Linked DNA regions of Xenopus tropicalis. The protein of the gene in region 1 interacts with the protein of each later gene in a biochemical or structural test. Links are inferred from orthologs where the notes say so. Each region holds a gene or a part of one and is shown on either strand. Other genes may lie near its edges.

Region 1 (4,316 bases):
GTAAAGATATGATTAGTGAATATATCCGATTCAGAAAAACACCTCTCACAGCTTCTCATATCCCTGACAGTTATACAAACCACAGAACATATATAATCCTTACATTCACCTTTTCATGACATTGACTATCGGCACAAGGATGCTTCCATCATTTAAAGAAAGAATTATAATTCAGACAATATTATCGGAGGGGGGGGGGGTGCTAAGAAACCAGCAACCACCTCAAAGGTGAGATCCCCGGGGATGTACCAGGGGTAAGCAGTGAAACACAAGGGTAAGTATTAGTGTGCATGTTATGACTCTGGCACAGCTGAGGACTGCAAACAGATTCCAGTTATTGTTTAACAACTCAATTGTTAATTCTTAATAGCTGCTGGGTTAAAAGTACTTGGGCAAACAAGGGCATTTCCATACAGTTAGAAGTCTATTTGGCAAGCAGAAGGCTATATCTGTCAGATTACCTTGGCAGTTCCTAGGCTGCAGGCTTTTTATACAGGTCAGGGAACTCCTTAATGACCTCTAGCATCCTTATATTATACAACAGGGGGTACAATATTTCATATATATTTTTAACAGGCTATTCATGGAGTTCTTGTTACAGCTATACCCTGTGTCCTCCACCCCCCTAGAAATATTCACCCTGACCAGGGGTGGGCTGTCAATAAGAATTATTGGCACTAAAGTGATATAACTGGCCCATCCCATTGCCTACCTCTCAACATAATTCTTCAGAACCACACAGTATAATATTAATTGAAATTTAACATCAAATCGGGTCAGTTTAGCGTCACCCAATATACAAATGACTGACAGACCATTGGTTCTTTGACCAACCTCCTAATGCTTCTCTTATGATTAACTGATCATTATGGGTGCTGCTTCTCTGCTGTGTGATAGGCGGGTATGGAACAGTGTCATTAATAAGGCCCTCAGAATATATATATGTCATTGTTTGTGGCATGGGGACCCCAAATGTAACATATGTATAGGGGCATCAAATCAAATGTCTGGGGGTCCCAGGACATATTGGTTTCTGATGGGGGTACTGTGGCCCTCCTGCCCACCTTGCCAACGCTCCCCTGTACCTGCCAATAGCTCCAGGCATCCCAAGCTCCAGACTAGACTGTAAGCTCTTCAGTGTAGGGACCTCATCCCTATTGTGTACTGTAACCCCCAGCACTTACACATTGTTACTCGCTGTAACCCCCAGCACTTACGCATTGTTACTCGCTGTAACCCCCAGCACTTACGCATTGTTACTCGCTGTAACCCCCAGCACTTACGCATTGTTACTCCCTGTAACCCCCAGCACTTACGCATTGTTACTCCCTGTAACCCCCAGCACTTACGCATTGTTACTCGCTGTAACCCCCAGCACTTACGCATTGTTACTCCCTGTAACCCCCAGCACTTACGCATTGTTACTCCCTGTAACCCCCAGCACTTACGCATTGTTACTCCCTGTAACCCCCAGCACTTACGCATTGTTACTCCCTGTAACCCCCAGCACTTACGCATTGTTACTCCCTGTAACCCCCAGCACTTACGCATTGTTACTCCCTGTAACCCCCAGCACTTACGCATTGTTACTCCCTGTAACCCCCAGCACTTACGCATTGTTACTCGCTGTAACCCCCAGCACTTACGCATTGTTACTCGCTGTAACCCCCAGCACTTACGCATTGTTACTCCCTGTAACCCCCAGCACTTACGCATTGTTACTCCCTGTAACCCCCAGCACTTACGCATTGTTACTCCCTGTAACCCCCAGCACTTACGCATTGTTACTCCCTGTAACCCCCAGCACTTACACATTGTTACTCACTGTAACCCCCAGCACTTACGCATTGTTACTCGCTGTAACCCCCAGCACTTACACATTGTTACTCACTGTAACCCCCAGCACTTACACATTGTTACTCACTGTAACCCCCAGCACTTACACATTGTTACTCACTGTAACCCCCAGCACTTACACATTGTTACTCACTGTAACCCCCAGCACTTACACATTGTTACTCACTGTAACCCCCAGCACTTACACATTGTTACTCACTGTAACCCCCAGCACTTACACATTGTTACTCACTGTAACCCCCAGCACTTACACATTGTTACTCGCTGTAACCCCCAGCACTTACGCATTGCTACTCCCTGTAACCCCCAGCACTTACACATTGCTACTCGCTGTAACCCCCAGCACTTACACATTGTTACTCGCTGTAACCCCCAGCACTTACACATTGTTACTCACTGTAACCCCCAGCACTTACACATTGTTACTCACTGTAACCCCCAGCACTTACACATTGTTACTCACTGTAACCCCCAGCACTTACGCATTGTTACTCGCTGTAACCCCCAGCACTTACACATTGTTACTCACTCTCCAATATATAATTACTGCACTTGAGCTGCTCTATAATTAAATACAACAGAATTAGAGATTGAGCGTTTGGCAGCAGTACAACCCCAGCATTCTGCCCCTAGCCCTGCTGACAAAGCGATACAGGGAGTCGCATTCTGCCACAGCTGGAGGGTTCATTCCACCCCTGGATACAGCTACACTACCCCCACTACCCCAAATCCTCAGCTGTCCTTCCCCCTTACGTATCCATCACAGGCCAAGGTCTGGCACCCAGCTGCCCACCCCTACACCTACCGCTACAATTCCTTCTTCTACAGCCGCCGCTTCCAATAGTGACTCCCTGTCAGTTCTCCGGGCGCCATGGCTGTCACTCCCGAATCGATTGCTCTGTCGTCCCAGTCCGGGCTGCCACTCAGCCTGAGAAATAGGAGTAGATAGCCGAGTCATCGATAGGCCGAGCTAGGGGAGGGGGCGGGGCAAGAGAGGATGTTGGATCTGCCTGTGACAGGCACGGCCAGGAGTGAGGAGATAAACGGGAAATGTGGGCTGGAGGGAGAGGGGAGCCTGAGGGAGAGGGAGCCTGAGGGACAGGGGGGGGAAGTAATGGTCGCAGTCAGGAAGGAAACTAGTGTAATACACAACGAGCTGCCATTAGGGTGGGGCTTTGGGACCCCAGTAGCTAAGGCTTCCCTATGGGAATGGGCGTGGTGCTAATTGGCTGTAAGGGCGATCCCCAAAAAAATGTTGTTTGCAATAAGTTTCCCATGTTAAGTTCGGGAGCCAGAGCAAGCAATGCAGAGACTGTAACAGCTGGGCAGGCACTGCTATAGGTAGCAATTACATATACAAATTGCTTAGAATTTCATTCTTATCCATTCTCTTCTATGGGGGGGAAGGGGTTAATAAAGTTTGTGCAGTTACTATATGATTGACTACAGTTACTATATGATTGACTATAGTTACTATATGATTGACTACAGTTACTATATGATTGACTATAGTTACTATATGATTGACTATAGTTACTATATGATTGACTATAGTTACTATATGATTGACTACAGTTACTATATGATTGACTATAGTTACTATATGATTGACTATAGTTACTATATGATTGACTATAGTTACTATATGATTGACTATAGTTACTATATGATTGACTACAGTTACTATATGATTGACTATAGTTACTATATGATTGACTACAGTTACTATATGATTGACTATAGTTACTATATGATTGACTATAGTTACTATATGATTGACTACAGTTACTATATGATTGACTACAGTTACTATATGATTGACTATAGTTACTATATGATTGACTATAGTTACTATATGATTGACTATAGTTACTATATGATTGACTATAGTCACTATATGATTGAATTCAGTGCTGTAGCGTGAGGGGGCAATCAGCCCTGTAACCCTTGGATTTGGCCAGAGGCAGGGTTGCCAGATTTATTTTTACAAACCAGCCAAAGTCAGTTCTAAAACCAGCCCAAAACTAGCCAAAAGCCACTTTGAAAATAGCCCAATATGCTCAATGAAAAAAAATTCTAAAAAACATGCCTTTTTAAAGCGTATAATCCCTACCCATGCCCTGCGCCCCCTCTCCAGTTACTGGGATGTTTCCCTGCCCTCTGTGCCCAGTCCATGCAGGGTATTGTAGTTTTGCTGCTTCAGGTTCAGTACAGAGGAATAGAAAAGGGAGCTTCTGTCTATAATTGCATGCTGGGTATTGTAGTTTTATATTAATCTTAGCTGTAGGCTAATTGTAAGATACAAACTACATTACCCAGCATGAACTGGGAAAGGCATGTCAGAAGAGAAAACCTTTGGCTAATTTTAAAACTACAAACCCGCCAAGGCGCCAAAAACTAGCCCAAATTTGTACCTTGGCAGGTTTGTACCCGGGCTTTAAATTAGTAGCACAATTTGG
Region 2 (3,654 bases), on another chromosome or scaffold:
ATAAGGGGTAATTATATCTTATTTGGGATCAAGTACAGGTACTGTTTTATTATTACAGAGAAAAAGAAAGGATTATTTGATTTAAATGGAGTCTACGGGAAATTACCTTCCCATAATTTCAAGCATTCTGGAAACCGGTTTCCAGATAACAGATCCTATACCTGTACAATAATGAACCTCTGCTGCACTACAAACTCCTTTTTTTGCTTCCCCCTTAATTGCTAATCTGTGTGTGGCCCTTGCCTACCTGCCTGCCTTTCCGTCACCAACATAACAATCTGTGCTAGTACTGCTTGCAAGATTAGCCTTTCAGCCCCCCCCAGTGCTGGAGTAGATCTTTTGTGCAGAAAAATTAAGCAGGGAGGCATAAATCATCAAGTAACGGGTATAAACTAAAAGCACCAGTAAAAAAAAGAGCAGTACAGAGAGTTTTCAGAAAGGAGTTTTTGTGTATTCATGAGAAGTAGTAAAACACAATAACGTTACCAATGGCCATAAAGATTTCATTCACATTCATTGCGGTTTTAGCAGAGGTCTCCATAAAGAGCAGGCTGTTGTCATCAGCGTATGCCTGAGCTTCCTGCAAATGGAACATTCCATGGTGAGCAAAATAAACCAAGGTATCAGTTAGAAGCAATATATCTGGAACACAATAGATCACTGGGAAAACCAGCAGAGGGGAGCTGACATTTAGTACTGAGATAGATAAATATGCCGGCACAGGAAACATCTGGAGGGATCCATGGAGCCAGCTATTGGGAATTATAACAGCACTGCTCTAAAGGCCCCCGTACACGGGCCAATAGTAGGTGCCGATATGGGTCCCTTAGACAGATTCTGCAGCTAATCGGCCCGTGTATGGGCACTACCGACGGGCACTACCGACGGGCCTACACACCTGTAGGTGGTGATATCGTGAGAAGATCCGCTGGCTTGGCGATCTGCCAGTGTACGGGGACCTTTACACTAGCCAATTGGTTGAGCTGGGAGAGTGCACTAGAGGAGACTGGATGAGCTACAGGCAATGTGACAGCCTTACCTATACGTTGCTAGGGTGAGCTCCACTAAGCAGGGATGAGTCTTCTGCCCATAGTGCAGGCACAGGGAAGGAGCACAGAAGGGCAGTAGTTCAAGGGGCAGACAATGAGGAGAGCACTATGGGCTGGGGTAAGATGCACGGGAATATATATAAATAACAGAGTCAGGCCGGGCAGTGCCATGCATGGACTTGGGATTGACTACAGAATTTCAAAGGAACAGCTCTGTGTAAAAATGAAACGGGGTAAAATAGACAGTCTGTGCAAAATAAAAAATATTTTCAATATAGTTAGGCAAAAATGTAATCTATAAAGGCTGGAGTGGGCAGATGTCTAACATAATAGCCAGAACACTACTTCCTGCTTTCAGCTCTCTAACCTCTTAGTTAGTTAGTGACTTTAGGCGGGGCCATATGGGACATAAGTGTTCAGTTAGTTTGTGAGCACACGGGTCACATTCAAATGCAAACTGACAGTTATGTCCCATGTGGCCCCCCCCTAAAGTCACTGACTGACTAAGAGGTTAGAGAGCTGAAAGCAGGAAGTAGTGTTCTGGCTATTATGTTAGACATCTGCCCACTCCAGCCTTTATAGATTACATTTTTGCCTAACTAACTATACTGAAAACATTTTTTATTTTTCTCTCTCTTACAAAAGTAAATATATTTTAAAAAGTGTACTTTTCACCTTTACATTAACTTTTAGTATGACACAGAGAGTGCTATTTTGAAACAATTTGCAATTGGTCTTCATTTTTTTTTATTATTGATTTTTTTTTAGTTATTTTAATTTTGTTCTGCAATTCTCCAGCTTGGAATTTCAGCAGTTATCTGGCTGCTAGGATCCAATTTACCTTAGTAACAAGGGAGTGATTTGAGAGATTGACCGATATTTGAATAGGAGAGGGGCTGAATAGAAAAATAAGTAATAGAAAGTAACAATATTAATAAAACTGGAGCCTCACAGAGCAATAGTTTTGGCTGCCGGGGTCAGTGACCCCCATTTGAAAGCTGCAAAGAGGCAGAACAGGAAGGCGAATAATGCAAAAACTATAAATGATAAAAAATGAAGACTAATTGAAAAGTTGCTTACAATTAGCCAATCTATAACATATTAAACGTTAAAGGTGAACCAAACCATTAGTATGATATTTCTTAAAAACAAACAAGCTCACCTGAAAATCCACAGCTCTCTTACTGGAGAGGTCGGCTTTGTTCCCAGATAAGGCAATGACAATGTTGGGACTTGCCTGACGCTGAAGTTCTTTTACCCAGTTTTTTGCTCTTGCAAATGTTTCCTACAGAACAAAGTACAGAGCTTTAAAAGAAATTCATAGAGAAAAGTGTTGTACTGAGAACATTCACCTTGAAAATAACTTTTACTAAGATGTAGACGTTGATATTCTCAGACAATTTGCAATTGGTCTTTATTTTTTTTGTAGTTTGTCAGTCGTTTAGCAACCGGATAGCTGCTGAAATTACAAACTGGAGAGCCGCTGAACTGAAAGTTCAGCGGCTCTCCAGTTTGGAATTTCAGCAGCTACCCAGTTGCTAGAGTCTTGTTTACCTTAGCAACCAGGCAGTGGGTGTGAATGAGAGACTGGAATATGAATAGAGGAGGGACTAAATAAAAAGATAAGGAATACAAAGTAATAATTCAAATACAATTGTAAGAAGAAGGTTTTTTTGGCTGCTGGGGGTCAGTGACCCCCCCCCCCCCCCCATGTGGAAAGATGTAGACAAAGAAGGCAAATAATAAAAACTATAAAAAAGAAATAATGAAGACCAATTGCAAAGTTGCTAGGAATAGTACATTCTGTAACATATTAAAATTGCCTTAATTGCTATCTTCTTTTATTATTAAAACCTTCAAAATGTCAAATTTTTCTTGAAAACTGAAATTTGAAAATAGCTTTTTTTTTTTTTAATACAAATTGAACATTTAGGTCTCTTTCTGTAAAATCTGAAATTTTGCAAAAATTCAAGTGTTTTTTTTTCCATGAAACTGAAAAAAAGCAGTATAAAAAAACCTCAAAATCATAAATCTGTCGTATAATGTCAAGAATAAATATTTACCATTGAGGGGGAAAAAAAGTGGAAAGTTGCTTGAGTCACTGCCTTTTGTACTTTGTACTAAAAATTTATCCAAAAAAGTGCTGGTACTAGAGAGCCTTCCCATTGGCTGCTTTCCCAGTCTGTGACAAGAGAGCCAGCAGCAGGACCTTCCCCGCGTGGAGGCAGATCTGTGATTGGCTGCTCTCTGGAGAGGGGCAATTAGGACAAGGACTGAGCAGAGAGATAGGGCATTATTTCATGTAATGTGCACTTACTGTATTGGTGATGTCATAAACTACAATGGCTGCCTGGGCTCCTCGGTAGTACATGGGGGCCAAACTGTGATACCTCTCCTGCCCTGCCGTGTCCCAGATCTCAAACTTCACCGTTGTATCATCCAAACATAAGGTCTGTGTTAGAAAGGCAGCTGGAGATAGAAGTACATAATATTATTGTTATTATTATATACATATTAGCACTATTATGATTGTGTGAGGGTAATGTTGGTAAGGTTGCTAAGGTCTGTGACGAGTTGCTAAGGTCAACACAGAGGAGGAAATGAA

What was found. The genes of interacting proteins can lie anywhere in the genome.
Region 2: the proteins of rbsn (region 1) and rab5c form a complex in vitro, tested with the Homo sapiens proteins (2 studies listed by BioGRID and IntAct, with this or other methods). The link is inferred for Xenopus tropicalis from reciprocal best matches to the Homo sapiens genes RBSN and RAB5C.

Annotation. Positions count from the first base shown.
Region 1 is NC_030680.2:132,257,166-132,261,481, reverse strand, and holds the start of rbsn (rabenosyn-5), read right to left. Parts: upstream 2,821-4,316; 5' UTR 2,816-2,820; coding exon 2,663-2,815; intron 1-2,662. UniProt on the Homo sapiens protein: Rab4/Rab5 effector protein acting in early endocytic membrane fusion and membrane trafficking of recycling endosomes. Required for endosome fusion either homotypically or with clathrin coated vesicles.
Region 2 is NC_030686.2:6,904,578-6,908,231, reverse strand, and holds part of rab5c (ras-related protein Rab-5C), read right to left. Parts: intron 3,519-3,654; coding exon 3,367-3,518; intron 2,335-3,366; coding exon 2,212-2,334; intron 581-2,211; coding exon 487-580; intron 1-486. UniProt on the Homo sapiens protein: The small GTPases Rab are key regulators of intracellular membrane trafficking, from the formation of transport vesicles to their fusion with membranes.